Linked DNA regions of Macaca fascicularis. The protein of the gene in region 2 purifies or fractionates together with the protein of the main gene of each other region. This does not show direct contact. Links are inferred from orthologs where the notes say so. Each region holds a gene or a part of one and is shown on either strand. Other genes may lie near its edges. The genes, in order: NUDCD1, COPG1, COPA and ARCN1.

The links.
Region 1: the proteins of COPG1 (region 2) and NUDCD1 purify together in Homo sapiens (affinity purification with mass spectrometry; 3 studies listed by BioGRID and IntAct, counting the BioPlex papers as one, with this or other methods). This does not show direct contact. The link is inferred for Macaca fascicularis from reciprocal best matches to the Homo sapiens genes COPG1 and NUDCD1.
Region 3: the proteins of COPG1 (region 2) and COPA purify together in Homo sapiens (affinity purification with mass spectrometry; 6 studies listed by BioGRID and IntAct, counting the BioPlex papers as one, with this or other methods). This does not show direct contact. The link is inferred for Macaca fascicularis from reciprocal best matches to the Homo sapiens genes COPG1 and COPA.
Region 4: the proteins of COPG1 (region 2) and ARCN1 purify together in Homo sapiens (affinity purification with mass spectrometry; 6 studies listed by BioGRID and IntAct, counting the BioPlex papers as one, with this or other methods). This does not show direct contact. The link is inferred for Macaca fascicularis from reciprocal best matches to the Homo sapiens genes COPG1 and ARCN1.

What each region holds. Positions count from the first base shown.
Region 1 is NC_088382.1:118,796,214-118,798,940, reverse strand, and holds part of NUDCD1 (nudC domain-containing protein 1), read left to right. Parts: coding exon 1-119; intron 120-2,495; coding exon 2,496-2,727.
Region 2 is NC_088376.1:154,151,357-154,154,924, forward strand, and holds part of COPG1 (coatomer subunit gamma-1), read right to left. Parts: intron 2,763-3,568; coding exon 2,620-2,762; intron 2,286-2,619; coding exon 2,114-2,285; intron 1,727-2,113; coding exon 1,629-1,726; intron 1-1,628. UniProt on the Homo sapiens protein: The coatomer is a cytosolic protein complex that binds to dilysine motifs and reversibly associates with Golgi non-clathrin-coated vesicles, which further mediate biosynthetic protein transport from the ER, via the Golgi up to the trans Golgi network.
Region 3 is NC_088375.1:100,716,129-100,720,213, reverse strand, and holds the start of COPA (coatomer subunit alpha), read right to left. Parts: upstream 2,832-4,085; 5' UTR 2,747-2,831; coding exon 2,707-2,746; intron 1-2,706. Other genes in the region: NCSTN (nicastrin), read left to right, coding at 2,973-3,057. UniProt on the Homo sapiens protein: The coatomer is a cytosolic protein complex that binds to dilysine motifs and reversibly associates with Golgi non-clathrin-coated vesicles, which further mediate biosynthetic protein transport from the ER, via the Golgi up to the trans Golgi network.
Region 4 is NC_088388.1:117,439,536-117,443,583, forward strand, and holds the start of ARCN1 (coatomer subunit delta), read left to right. Parts: upstream 1-1,236; 5' UTR 1,237-1,394; coding exon 1,395-1,397; intron 1,398-4,048. UniProt on the Homo sapiens protein: Component of the coatomer, a cytosolic protein complex that binds to dilysine motifs and reversibly associates with Golgi non-clathrin-coated vesicles, which further mediate biosynthetic protein transport from the ER, via the Golgi up to the trans Golgi network.

The DNA.
Region 1 (2,727 bases), on a different chromosome or scaffold from region 2:
GGATCCTAAAGAAATGCCCTGCTTCTGTTTACGCCATGATGTTGATGCCCTACTCTGGCAACCACACTCCAGCAAACAAGATGATATGTGGGAGCACATCGCAACTTTCAATGCTTTAGGTATAAAGCAAACTCTTTGACATTTTCCATGAAATCAGAACTATAGTCATCATTCATTTAAAGTTCATTCCTTTTTTTTTCTTTTTAATTTGAGCTGTCCTGATTACATTTAGATTGATTTGTGCTATGATTTGTTTTCTTGTACTAGCGGATGAGTGTTAGCACTGTTGGAACATTTAGACTAATCTGTTTTTATGCTTATACAGAAGATCAAGACAATAGAAATGAAAGTGGTTATCTAACCATTTGAATTATTCTAATAAGTCATTTGCTTTTTCTAATTCTGTAAACCATATAATACTGGAGTCTGAACAAGGAGCTTGATAATACCCTACATGGAACTTGTATTCAAGTTTCTTCAGAGTAATCTTCAAAAACATCATAGAATTCCCCTAAGGTATAATGCACATTAGGAGACATCTTTTGTCAAAATTAAGACAAAAGAGAGCCATTATAATGAAAACACTTATGGAAAGCGGTGATAAGCAGAAATTAAATTTATTTGGTAGGATAAAAGGAAAAAAATCAGCTTTAAAATTAGGGCTTGAAAATGTTTAAACTACTTAATTGTAGATGTATGCAATCATTGATTTTTTTGTCAAAATGCATTAGTATTGTGTGACAGAAATTTTTTATGTGAATTAGCCACAGTTATTGCTTTATTGAAAGGTTATTTTAAACTGGCAGCAAGAAGTGAAAGTATGTATTTTGATGGCTATATATGCACAACCCTAATAGTAGAAGAAATTTATTAATTATCCCTTGTAGTTAATAATACAGGCTGCTAAACTGGTTCAGACACCAAATGGATTTTTATGACCTGAAGTACAAAGTTTGGTTGACTAATTTAACCATATAATTTTTAGCCTCCCTACTATAATGCTATTTTTTAATTATCTATACTTTAGTCAGAAGAAAGCTCTATCATATTATCTTTAGATGCTCAGATCTTCTATTTGTATCCCCAGATCCCCTATTATAGAGGAAGTCTATGCTTAATTCTAAGTTAAATCAACGTTACATTAGATATGTACTCATGAAATATATACATTATTCTGTCAAGGTTAGCCTGGATAGCAACTTTAAACTATTTAAATAGGTATCTAAATCTTCACTTTTCCCACTTCAAACCCTGCTTAATTAAAAACAATATTGATCTGCATGTGCTCAGTAACTCCTTTGCTTATTCATTGTTTGATGAGATCTCAATTTTAATTAGTGTTTTTTTTTTTTTGCTTATTCATTGTTTGATGAGATCTCAATTTTAATTAGTGTTTTTGTTTTTTTTTTTTTTTTTGAGACGGAGTCTTGCTCTGTCGCCCAGGCTGGAGTGCAGTGGCGCGATCTGCGCTCACTGCAAGCTTCGCCGCCGGGTTCACGCCATTCTCCTGCCTCATCCTCCCGAGTAGCTGGGACTAGAGGTGCGTGCCACCACGCCCGGCTAATTATTTTTTGTATTTTTAGTAGAGACAGGGTTTCACCATGTTAGCCAGGATGGTCTTGATCTCCTGACCTCATGATCCGCCCACCTCGGCCTCCCAAAGTGCTGGAATTACAGGCGTGAGCCACTGCGCCCGGTGTATATTTTTATTTTACATGATCTTAAATACCTAACATGTACTAACCATGTCACAATCTGAAAATCATAATTTATATTTCGGAACATAAATGTTGTTTTAATCCAAAAAGATACTTTTTAAATGTGTACATGAATTAAGATAAGATTAAGGATTTTTTCAGTTTAGAGACTTGAAATTATTTTTTAGGTTATAGTAGTCAACATTCTACTTCTGGGGGCTGAAAGTACAACAAAATCCGGTTACAGTGTTGGTATTGTTGTGTAAAAATATCACTAACATTTTAGGGATAATAAGAGAATGCATCACAAATACTAGTACATTCAGGGATACATTATGAACAGAAACCTAAAATAACTTTATGATGGTATCCTATACACATTTTCCAATTTATTTAAGAGGAAAAAAATGATTCTGTGATGCCATATCTGTAATTCATGAAGCTAAATATTAAATTGGCACTTAAAGATATTTGTCATGTAGTTAGTGTTTTAGATTTTAGAATTTTAGTGTTCGAATTATTCATGGAAATTAAATGAAACTATATTATGCTTTTCTTGAAGAGAGAAAGCCGTATCTGTTTTGTTCCTTAAGAATTAAAGTTGTATTTTTGTACCAGTTGGGAGAGACTGATTGTGGCTAATCATTAATGATTCAGAATTATATACCTTACGGTATATATTTTACTTGGGCATTTTAATTTGTAATAAACATTGCAAAATATTAAATGTTAAATCATGATTTTTCCCCTTCTGTTTAATATATAGTTTTTCTTTTGTTTGTCTCATATTCTTGGCAGGCTATGTCCAAGCATCAAAGAGAGACAAAAAATTTTTTGCCTGTGCTCCAAATTACTCCTATGCAGCCCTTTGTGAGTGCCTTCGTCGAGTATTCATCTATCGTCAGCCTGCTCCCATGTCCACTGTACTTTACAACAGAAAGGAAGGCAGGCAAGTAGGACAGGTTGCTAAGCAGCAAGTAGCAAGCCTGGAAACCAATGATCCTATTTTAGGATTTCAGGCAACAAATGA
Region 2 (3,568 bases):
GACCCAGCTCTTTTTTTTTTTTTTTTCTATCATCTCTGGGTGGGCTCAAACAGACCCAGCTCTCTCAAGGAGCTCACTTGGTCTTAAAGCAGCTCCTGCCTCAGGGTCATTTCCAGCTTAAGGAAGGTCCATCCATCCTCAACTGTGACTCTAGGATGACACAATGGTGAATGTCAGCTGTATTCCACCATGACTGTCCCTCTAGTCAGGAGGAGTTCTAACAATCCCCATCCACAGGCTGAGCGTAGTGGTCTGCACTCAGAAGGCCCTGAGCCACTGCCCCAAGGTCAGACCCCAGAAGGATCCTGTACTTAGTTCCATCGAGCTAAGATAGGAGAATTTAGAAGGGCTATTCCAGTGCATGAAAGGACTGCCCAGCACGGCAAACAGGTCAAATGTATCCAGAAAGCATTTGACAAAAGGAATCAAAATGTCTTAAAATCATGCTTACCCTTTGACCCAATTATTCTCCTTCTAGGAATCTATCCTAAAGAAATAATCTAAAATGCAGATAAAAATTTGTATCTAAAGGGATATTTAGTGCAGCATTATAAATAGTGAAAATATGGAAACCCAAATGCCCAACATTCAAGGAGTGAAAGGTCAATCAAGTTTTGACATAGTATATAACAGTATTTTAAATCCACTAAAAAAATTGTGTTTATGAAGTATTTGTAATGACACTGGAAAATACACTATGGTTTTAAAATAGCAAGGTCTACATTATAAGAATGATTCCAATTATACCACTGCCCCCCAAAAGTAACTCTGAAGATTATGAGTAATGTTTTCCTGTTGTTCATACTTTTGTTTTGTATTTTGTTTTTGTATTTCCCAAGTTTTCTTTTTACACATGAACATGTATTTCCATAAGTTTAAAAAGTTATTTTAGGCCAGGCGCAGTGGCTCACGCCTGTAATCCCAACACTTTGGGAGGCCAAGGTAGGTGTATCACCTGAGGCGAGGAGTTCGAAACCAGCCTAGCCAACATGGTGAAACCCTGTCTCTACTAAAAATACAAAAAATTAGGCAGGCATGGTGGCGGGCGCCTGTAATACCAGCTACTCGGGAGGCTGAGGCAAAAGAATCACTTGGGGCCGGGCGCGGTGGCTCAAGCCTGTAATCCCAGCACTTTGGGAGGCCGAGACGGGTGGATCACAAGGTCAGGAGATCGAGACCATCCTGGCTAACACAGTGAAACCCCGTCACTACTAAAAAATACAAAAAACTAGCCGGGCGAGCTGGCGGGCGCCTGTGGTCCCAGCTACTCGGGAGGCTGAGGCAGGAGAATGGCGTGAACCCGGGAGGCGGAGCTTGCAGTGAGCTGAGATCAGGCCACTGCACTCCAGCCTGGGCGACAGAGCGAGACTCCGTCTCAAAAAAAAAAAAAAAAAAAAAAAAAAGAATCACTTGGACTTGGGAGGCAGAGGTTGCAGTGAGCCGAGATCGTGCCATTGCACTCCAGCCTGGGTAACAAGAGAGAAACTTCATCTCAAAAAATAAAATAATAAAATAAAATTTTAAAGAGCTAAAAAGTCAAAAACAGCTCCAGTCTGTCTGTCAGTTTCTGAAGGGAGTTGCTTTGCAGCCTCAGCACAAAACTGAGCTTCCTGACACCAGGCTCTTACCACATACTCATCCTCATAGCCTTCGTCATCGGTCTCCCCAGTGGTGGGATCACAGTCCTTGACAGTGAACTTCATCATGCAGCTGAATGTGCAGGCCACTGTGGGGAAGAGAGACTGGGTAGTTAGGAAGTCCCCAGACTGCAGGGGACGGGCTCCTCCTGCAGGGAACAAGCAGGCAGGGGTCACAGCCTGCTTTCTAGGCCCCTGCTATGTTATTAGTAGCAGCAACAAGCCATACAATCCTACAAAGCTGGACAGAGGGCGCCACCTTGTAGGACAGGAAAGTCAAGTCATGAGTTCTAGTGAGATCCTGTCTCTTTAAAAAAATTTTTTAAAGAAGAGCATTTGGGACTCAGCTATTCTTCTTGGGACTGAAATCAAGGAGCTGAAGCTCTAATAAAAGGCAAACAACTAGTGCCCAGTCGCCCACCTCCTGATCCCATGAGCTCCCATAAGGATAGGGTGGTATCTGGAGAGGGTCTCACCAGCTGTGGGGTCTTCTTTGGGCAGTGCCACCAGTGTGTAGCAGGTCCCAGGCTGGTTGTAGGGCAGGCTCCGGGCAGGCACATAACAGAGCACCTCATAGGCCTCAGTGGGCTCCATCTGCACTGTGACATTCTCCAAGGTCTGGTCATTGAGTGTGTTTGTGCAGTCAAACTGAACAGGGAAGAGAGGGGAGCTTAAACATTGCTCTAGGTCTGAGCCATGCTGCAGAGGAAGAGCCAGGAGGTCCCACCTCTTTCCTGTTGACCAAGGTGATTCCCATCCCAGTCCCCCTGCCCCAGGCTCCCTGTCTCCATGCTGATAATCAGGAGCCATGGAGGCCCTGGGTCAACAGATATGTGAGACAGGCATGTTGGGGACAGATTCTGTCATCAAGTTGGGCTCCCAACCAACACAGTGTGGGGACCCATGTCCCTACAGGACCTGCCAGACCTGGGACAACTCCCTGGGCGCATGCCCCAGCAGGGCCTCAGCCCACCTTGCTCACCTGAAAAACCATGTGGTTGGTGAAGGTGTGTTTGGTGCAGCGGATGACATACTCCGTCTCTGACTCAGTGAGGGCCACGGGCTCAGGCGAGGACTTGAAGAGGGGCCCAAGTCCCCGGAACTCTGGCACCGCCGCCAACTGCTCTGAAATCCACAGGCCACATTCACTCAGCTTCTAAATCCCCAGACCAACTTGTGATGGTTTCTAATAAATTCCCATGACCATTCGCAAGGTGTTCCACCTACCTTAGATGGATAAATATGTTTACCCACCTGGCTACTCATTATTTCCTGAATATATCCATGCATTTTCTCATCTCCCTGACTTTGCTCATGTGATACAACCCCCAACAAATACTCTCCCCATCTCTGTACCATGAAAGACCTCAGAAGCAAAACACTGATATGAGACCACAAAATCCTAGACCTAATTGGAGATTCCCCCGGTTTTAGAAGCTTAGCAAGGATTTCCACCCCCTAGCTCAGCAAGGATTCTTAAAAGAAGGTGACAATTAGGAAAATAAGATCAATTAGGAAAATAAGATCGATACTACTATAGCTACAAAATCAGACAAAGTAACAAACTGGTCCTATATATTTGTCAGTTAAGACAAATGGCCAATAAAGAGATGTTTCGGAATGAGAGCGTTGCAGAAAACCCAACTTAGAATGGTCTGTGTCTGGTTAAGACCTATGCCTACACCCTATGGCCAGGTTCAAGCACTGGATTTAAGCACAGGCCCATGGGACCCCACCCTGGCTGGTCCTGGCATTCCTTGCAGACTAAAGGGAATAACCCAAGTGAATGAGGCATCTGGTAGATGTGTGCACATGGTGTCCACCTATAATGGCTACAGCTACCACTCTTGCACCTATTCTATGGCAGGATTCCTCGCACTATGACCATGGATCACCTGTATCAGAATTACTAGGGGTTGGCGGTAGAGCTT
Region 3 (4,085 bases), on a different chromosome or scaffold from region 2:
ATGATACAATGAGCTAACTAAGCCCCATGATGTCACCTTCTGTCAATTCTGATAAGAAAAAGAAACAGCAAGGTTAATCCTAGGCTCATTTATTCATTCGACGCACTTGATGATTTTTTACTGGATGCCAGACATCATGAATTTTATGTTTGGTACTAGATGTTTGTTATATTCCTTTAAATATTGTTGGGCTTTGCTCTAGGATGCAATTAAGTTACTTGGAATCAGTTGATCCTTTCAAGGCTTGCTTTTAGGTTCTATTACAGGGGGGCTACAGCAGCCTTCATTCTAGGCTTAATCTGGAACCATTATTAAAGCAATAGCCCATCTGAGGTCTCTATTTGAAGCTCTATAATATCAGGAAGTCTTTCCATTCTGGCCAGTAGGAACACAAACTAGTCCCAGCCCTGTGTGAGCTCTGGGGATTGCTCTGCCTTCTCCTTTCCAGTGGTTCTTTGTCAGGTTTTGAATAGTTTTCTCACATGCAGATCAGTACTCAAAGACCCGAGAGGACATCCTGCAGACCTCTAGTGCTCTCTCTCTGCAGCCCCCTCTTCTCCAGCATTTTGCCCTGCAAAATCTAGCATCTTTGCTTCCCCACACTCTAAACTTTTGTCTCCTCAGAAAGAACAAGGGATTCCCCTTTTCACTGAAGCCTGAAAACTCTCTAGGCAGTAATCTATGACAATCATAGGACTCACCTTGTTTATTTCCCTTCTCTCAAGAATCATTTCCCTGCACTGCGTGTCACCCAACGTCTGTGAGCAATGTATGAACCTTTGTTTCATACATTTTGTTTGTTATTCTATCAAGACTGGAAATGGAAGTCCCCAGAGGTAACAACTACTAACAGTTTGGAGTGTACCCTTTCAGATTTGTAATGCAGTTACACATAGACATAGGCCTTACTATTTTATGAAAGTGGGGATCACATTATGATGTTGTTCTGCAAACTTTTACATTATTCTAACAGGCATTTACCTTTGTCCCCCAATTTTTGGCTATCAGAAGAGCCTACTGAAGATACTTCTACACATAATCTAGCCTATTTGCATTATTACTGCTCTAGGCTAAAGACCTGTAAGTGAGATTGCTCAGGAATAGAATATGTGCACTTAACATTTTAGTACATATATTTAAATGTAAAAACACTTTATCAATATACAGTCTCATGAAGTTTATGGAGGTGCCCATTTTGCACACAGGATGTTATCAGCTATTTGTTGTTTTGTTTTATAAATCTAAGACCCTCCCCCCAAGAAAGTAACTTCACTTTTTTTTTTTTTTTTTTTTTTGCATTTCTTTCATTACTAGTGAGGTGGAACTGTTTTAATTATTTATTGAACATTTACAATTTTTCTTCTAAATTGTCTATTTTTCCATTAGGTTCTCTTTTTTTTTTTCCATTATGATATATAAGTACACTCAACAATGGATGTTCGCCCTCAATTATTACAACATCTTTGTTTTTCCTTCTCTACTGCCCAGCAAGAAATTAGGAGCAGAAAAGAAAACTGAAAGATTATGAAGACCCATTTCACCTACACAGGTCTCAGAAATTCTTAATGGTACCCACCTTTCAAGGTCAAGTTTCCCAAGAGACTTAGAAACTGCTCAGAATATATTCACACATTGAGAGCAGCCTCCACTTTTTGCACTACTGAGTCTACACCAGGTGCTGCAATAAATACATTCCATACTTTCTCATTTTAATTCTTTCTATAAAAGACTATTTTACAGATGAGGAAATAGCACTTAGAGACCTTAAGTCACCCAAGTCATACAGCTTGTTAGTGGATGTCTCAGGATTCCAAAGCAAGCCCATCTGACTTCAAAGACCAACCACTTTCAAAGACTAACCATTTTGTTACGCTGCATCTTACTACATACTCTAGATACTATTTTTTCCAGGTCTCTGGAGACCTTACTTCTCTCTGCCTTTCACATTTTAACATTCTGAGGCTAATACTGAGATCTCAGTATTTGCCCACCACCCCCAACGACCCACACTCGAGCTCTAGAGTCGCCATACTTAGCAAATAAAAATACGAGATGCCCAGATATATTTGAACTTCTGGTAAGCAAGGACAGACTAAAAAAACTATTCATTGTTTACCTGAAATTCAAATTTAACTGGGTGTCCTGCATTTTATCTGGCAACCCTATCAAGTTGAGACTTTATTGGGGTTATAAGCCTCAAAGTACTACTTCCGGGTAGTGAATAAAGCCGAATGAAGGTACTGATGTTGAGATGCTGCAGCCAAGGCCTCCTTAAGTGAGGTAGCCACTACACGTCTCCAAAAAAGCTACTGACTCGGGTGCAAGTAACAGAGATCGAGACTCAAGCCCCAGGGCCACTCCATATAACACAATCAAAAAGTCAACAGGTCACAGGGCCTTTGGAGCAGAACAATACAAGTTGGGAGCACAGCAAAGAGAGAAAGGGAGAAGAAAGAATAGGGAGGTGGTCTAAGGAATCACCTACAGTGTGGGAGCCACTTTATAGGTAAATCGAAGCCCAAGGACACACCAAAGAGGGGACTGGAGAACCGCTAGCCAGGCCTAACCTCTCTCCCACCCTCCGTCTTCCTCTGGGTCCGTCTAGTGGGCCCACTTCGGCCAGCACGTCTACCCATTTTCTCTTCCCCGGTGTCTGCGCCGCTCTTGACATCCAACCTCCATGTTCCCCTTTTTTTTCTCCACTACCTTTGACCCGCGCGCTCTTGGTCTCGAATTTGGTTAGCATCTCTCAGGTCTCCGACTCCGATGTTTTAATCCGAGCCCCGACACACCCTGCTGCCCTTCGGACGCCTCCACGTCAGCTACCCTCTGCCGCGGTTTCCGGAAGCTCCTGGAAACACGAACTTCCGGTCTGTTGGGCTCCGGGCCACAGAGATGGTGTCAGTGGTAGCCTAGAGAGGCCGCTACCCGGCAGGAGCCGAACGGGGACTTCCGCTCAGCAGAGAGGCAAGATGGCCACGGCAGGGGGTGGCTCTGGGGCTGACCCGGGAAGTCGGGGTCTCCTTCGTCTTCTGTCTTTCTGCGTCCTACTAGCAGGTGAGGCCTCCCCACCCGTGAGCTCCGTTCTCTAAAGGGAACTCTCCGGATCGGCCCAGCCGCGAGCGCCACTGTCTCCCTTCTGGTTCCTGCTGCCCCTCTGTCCCCCCACCCTGTAAATCCTCTTTCTCTTTCGTTCCCACGACAGAAGTTCCCCCTTTGCCTGGACCTAAAGGTCCCTTCTCCCCCGCAGCATGTCGTGTCGCTTCACTCCCTTCTCTAGGCCTCTTCCTGGACTTCGAACTCGACCCTCTCCCACTTTGTCCAGATGCCTCGTTTTTCCCACAACCCCAGCCACCCACCCCACAGTCGAAAGAAACAGGTGTGAAAGTTAGCTTTCTTCCCCGCGTTTAGACTTTTTGAGACGAAAGCAATCTTGTTCTGTGGGTGCTGTGCGGCGCTTAAAAGGTAGATTTCTTATTTCTTCCTCTATTGGTTACACCCAAAGTCTGTGTCCCTCTGCCTTGCCTCAGGTTTTGTTTTTGTTTTTGTTTTTTTAATCAGTAAAGCAAGAATAAGGTAGGATATGGGTACTCTTAACTGTCCAAACCGTGAAGTAACGATTCAAGGAACTTTTGGCATTTATAATATACTTGACTGTTTGCTTATACGCGTTTATTTACTGATACATGGCTTTTTAGTTGGTCACGCCCTAAAATGCAAATGTCTGTATATAACTATGACTGTGCCTTCCCCTAGTTCACATTGTTTTTAAAGATCCTCAAAGGAGAAACTACAGCTGCCCCACACTGTGGGCACACAAATGACCTACTGATGTTAAATTAACTGACCAGTGTATGTCATAAGGTTTCTCTCAATTCTATTCACACTCTTGGAAAAATGTCTCAGAAAGTTTTCTTAGCCCAGCACCTTTGTATTAACTGGTTAGTAATATACATACAGGATATACAAGCAGAAGTGTGATCACCTGTGCAACCAGAATTTGGCAAATCTAAGGTCAAACACCTTTCCTTTGACCAAGTTTTCTCTCTTTTAGTGTCACTGTCAATGGCGCTACATGGACTTTT
Region 4 (4,048 bases), on a different chromosome or scaffold from region 2:
GGTTTTCTTCTGTTCTGGATCTTCCATATTAATTGAATCATATATGAGTGCCCCATTGTATCTGTCTTTTTTCACATAATATTTTCAAGGTTCATCCATATTGTAGCATGTCAGTACCTTATTCTATTTTGTGATTAAATAATATTCCATTCCATATATATGCCACATCTATTGATGAATGGATTTGTTTGGATTGTCTCCACTTTCTGGCTGCTATGAATAAAGTTGCTATGAACATTAGGGTACACATTTTTGTGTTGACATATATTCAGTTCTCCTGGGTATGTACCTATGAGTAGAATTGCTCAGTCATATGGCAATTTTGTTTAACTTTTTGAGGAACTGCCAAACTCTTTTCCAACGTGGCTGCACTATTTCACATTCATCCTCACCAACAATTATTATGATAGCCATCCTAGTGGGTGTGAAGTGGTATCTCACCATGGGTCTGATTTCCATTTCCCTAAGGATATTCAACATTTCTTAATGTGCATATTAGCCATTTACATATCTTCTTTGGACACATATCTATTCAGATCTTTTGCTCATTTTAATTTTTTGTTTTCTACTCTCTCCATTTTGCAGATGAAGCCCATTTTTAGACAGGAATACTGTATTTGTCTTCTTATTGCTGAGTTATAAGAGTTCTTAGGCTGGGCGCGGGGGCTCACGCCTGTAATCCCAGCACTTTGGGAGGCTGAGGCGGGTGGATCACTTGGGGTCAGGAGCTCGAGACCAGCCTGGCCGACATGGCAAAACCCCTTCTCCACTAAAACTACAAAAAACAGCCGAACGTAGTGGCCCGTGCCTGTAATTCCAGCTACTCGGGAGGCTGAGGCAGAAGAACCCCTTGAACGTGGGAAGCGGAGGTTGCAGTGAGCCGACATCGCCCTATTGCGACAGAGTGGGCGACAGAGTGAGACTCCATCTCAAAAAAAAAAAAAAATTTTTTATTTATATATATTCCGGATACTAGTCCTTTATGCACACGGGTTATCTTGTATATTTATTAAATAATAGTGGCTGTGCCAGCGGCTTAATAAACTGTAAGATGTGACGCAAAATAAATGAAGGCGATGACAGTGAAAGGGCAGAGATATAAGGTTCCACAGTCGGGGGGTGAACGCTCCCTACACCTCCTGGGCACAGTCTTAACCCGAGCAGGGTACCCTCAATTTCCCCAGCCCGCAGGCCCCGCCCCGCCCCGCCCTTTGACCTCCGCCGCTTCCGGTTGAAGACGTGGCTCGGGGCCGCCATCTTGGCAAGAGGCGAAGCGGCAGCGGCTCCTGTCAAGCGGGCAGCAGATCCAGAGCGGCCCGTGCTCCCCTTCCCCAGACCCTCCCCCTATCCCCAGTGGAGCCGGAGAGCGGGCGCGCCCCACCACCGCCCTCACCATGGTAAGATCCGAGCCAGGACCCGAACTCCTGGGGTCCGAACCTCACAGTCTCTCCCTGTCGGCGGGCCTGGGGCCGGGGCCGGAGGAGCCCCGCCCTGAGGGTCTAGGGCCGGGTGCTTTGCTCGGGGCTCTGGGAGCAATGTGGCCTCCTGTGCCCGGTCTCCTGGAGATCCGACGGAGCTGACTTCAGTCCATCTGTCGTCGTGCCCGCTTCCCCACCACCCCCCAACCAGCTGGACTCCCTCGTCTGCTGGGACCTGCCCCTGAGACGGCCCTGCGTTTTTGCCTGCGAAAACTTCGTGGTGGTGGTGCGGGTCCCAGGCTGCGGACCTCGGAACTGATGCTGTCCTGCCGGTTCCCTGGCGCTTAGGCTCAGCAAGCTGGGCCTGTCTCCGGAGGTTCTGGTCCTTCTTGTTAACCAGCTTGTCTCCCACCCCCGGTATTTGCTAGGCCGTTGATAACTCGAAATGCAAATCCACTGGTGTCCAGAAATTTTTCTTTTGTTTGTTCAGAAGGGAGAAATGGAGACACAGAGCGGAAAGGAGTAACTTCTAACATTAATTTATAGGACCCAAGTGTCCCTGAAACCTTCCACTACTTCCGTAGAACTCACTTGTGTCCATTTGTTAGTGTGACTCAGGGTACATACACTGTGTAGACCACTGGGAAAATGTGAGCAAGTTCCAGAGAACACAGGGTTTGCCTTCAAGCAACTTATTGTTCAGATGAAGTAAAATGTGTATGTGGCATGTCGTAGTCAGATGTCTCACAGGAGGAGGAGTAAGAGGGGTGAGTTATCCTCTGAGACCAGTTACTTGCCTTCACATGCGTTATGTTTGTATACTCATCTGTTACAAGGATGAGAAAGGTTAATGTGGTTGAGGATGGAGGAAATTAGAACTGCTGACATCACTCAATCTTCCTTTATCGCTGTGATTTGTAGATATTCATAAAGTAGTAGACATTCTTTGGTTTCAAAAAAGCTAGTAGTTTATTTTTCAGTGCACCTTATGTCCTTTAATCTTTTGAAGGATATTCTATTCTGTTCTTTTTTATTTTTTTGTCAATAGATAACTTGATTTAAAACATCGTCCAGTGTACCTGAGAGATGACAGAATGTAATTTGGTGCCAATCCTAATCAGTTCTATTGACAACCCTGTAGATAAGAACTTGGATAATGGGGGGAACTCATGCTTGAGCTTTAAGCCACTGAACAGCTTTTCTCAGCCTCAGGTATATAAATTGCATCAAACAGGTTTGCCTCCTAAAATTTTTGTGTTGGACGTAAAATTTACAGAAACTTGTATTTTCAGTTTCTCCAGGAGGTCCTGTATTTGGTTAGTGATTTTGAAACTCAGTTCCTGTTTACACCCTGGAATTAATAGTGCATTTTAGAGCATATTTTTATTTTTATTTTTTTTTTATTTTTTATTTATTTATTTTTTTTTTGAGGCGGAGTCTCGCTCTGTCGCCCGGGCTGGAGTGCAGTGGCCGGATCTCAGCTCACTGCAAGCTCCGCCTCCCGGGTTTACGCCATTCTCCTGCCTCAGCCTACCAAGTAACTGGGACTACAGGCGCCCGCCATCTCGCCCGGCTAGTTTTTTGTATTTTTTAGTAGAGACGGGGTTTCACCGTGTTCGCCAGGATGGTCTCGATCTCCTGACCTCGTGATCCACCCGTCTCGGCCTCCCAAAGTGCTGGGATTACAGGCTTGAGCCACCGCGCCCGGCCGCATATTTTTATTTTAATGGTAAAGTTAAGGTCTTGTATTATGTAAACCAGATATAGATAATCTTTATAAAAATCTTATTTGTTAAAAGGTTATTGGAATTTAGTATTTTTAATTCATTGATAACTGAGGGATGGTAAAGCCCTACATGATATATATAAAATATAACTTTTGCATGCTATTTTGACATGTGTACGTATACATAGAGTTGTGTCACATATTTCTGAATTATTTGGGACTTAGCATGATCCAGATACCCACAGATTTGTGTACTCTGGAGAATAATTTATCTCAGTACATTCTGCTCTGTAGAGTCTTAAGACATTGGTGTTATTTCTGTGTAATGTTTTTGGGTCCTGCTCCTTTACAAACATATCCCTGGACAGTAGAAATGTCCAGATAGGGTGAAATATTGATCTGAAAGTTGTATCAAAACTTCTAGCAATTTATTTTAGCTCAACATTTCATTATGAAATTTTCAAACATCTGGAAAAGTTGAAAGGACTTTGTAGTGAATACCCATGTAACCACCAGCTAGATTCTGTAACTAACATTTCACTATATTTCATCATGCATCTAACCATCCATCCATCCCTCTCTCCATTAAAAAAATATACATTTCAAAGTAAGTTGCAGATATCAGTACATAAACATTGATTTTTTAAAAATAAATTCCTTTTGGCTTTAGTTATTGAAGTGCACAATGTCCTAGACTGCAAAGTTCCAATAGATAAATAAGTGAACAAATGCAAAAACAAATGCCTTCTCATGACTTCATCATAAAGTAAAGTACAAAGAAAGGCATCTTTTGATTTACTTATATTTTTAAGAGACAGGGTCTCACTATGTTGCCCAGGCTGGAGGGCAGTGGCTATTCACAGGCACTATCACAGTGCACTGTGGCCTGAAACTCCTAGCCTCA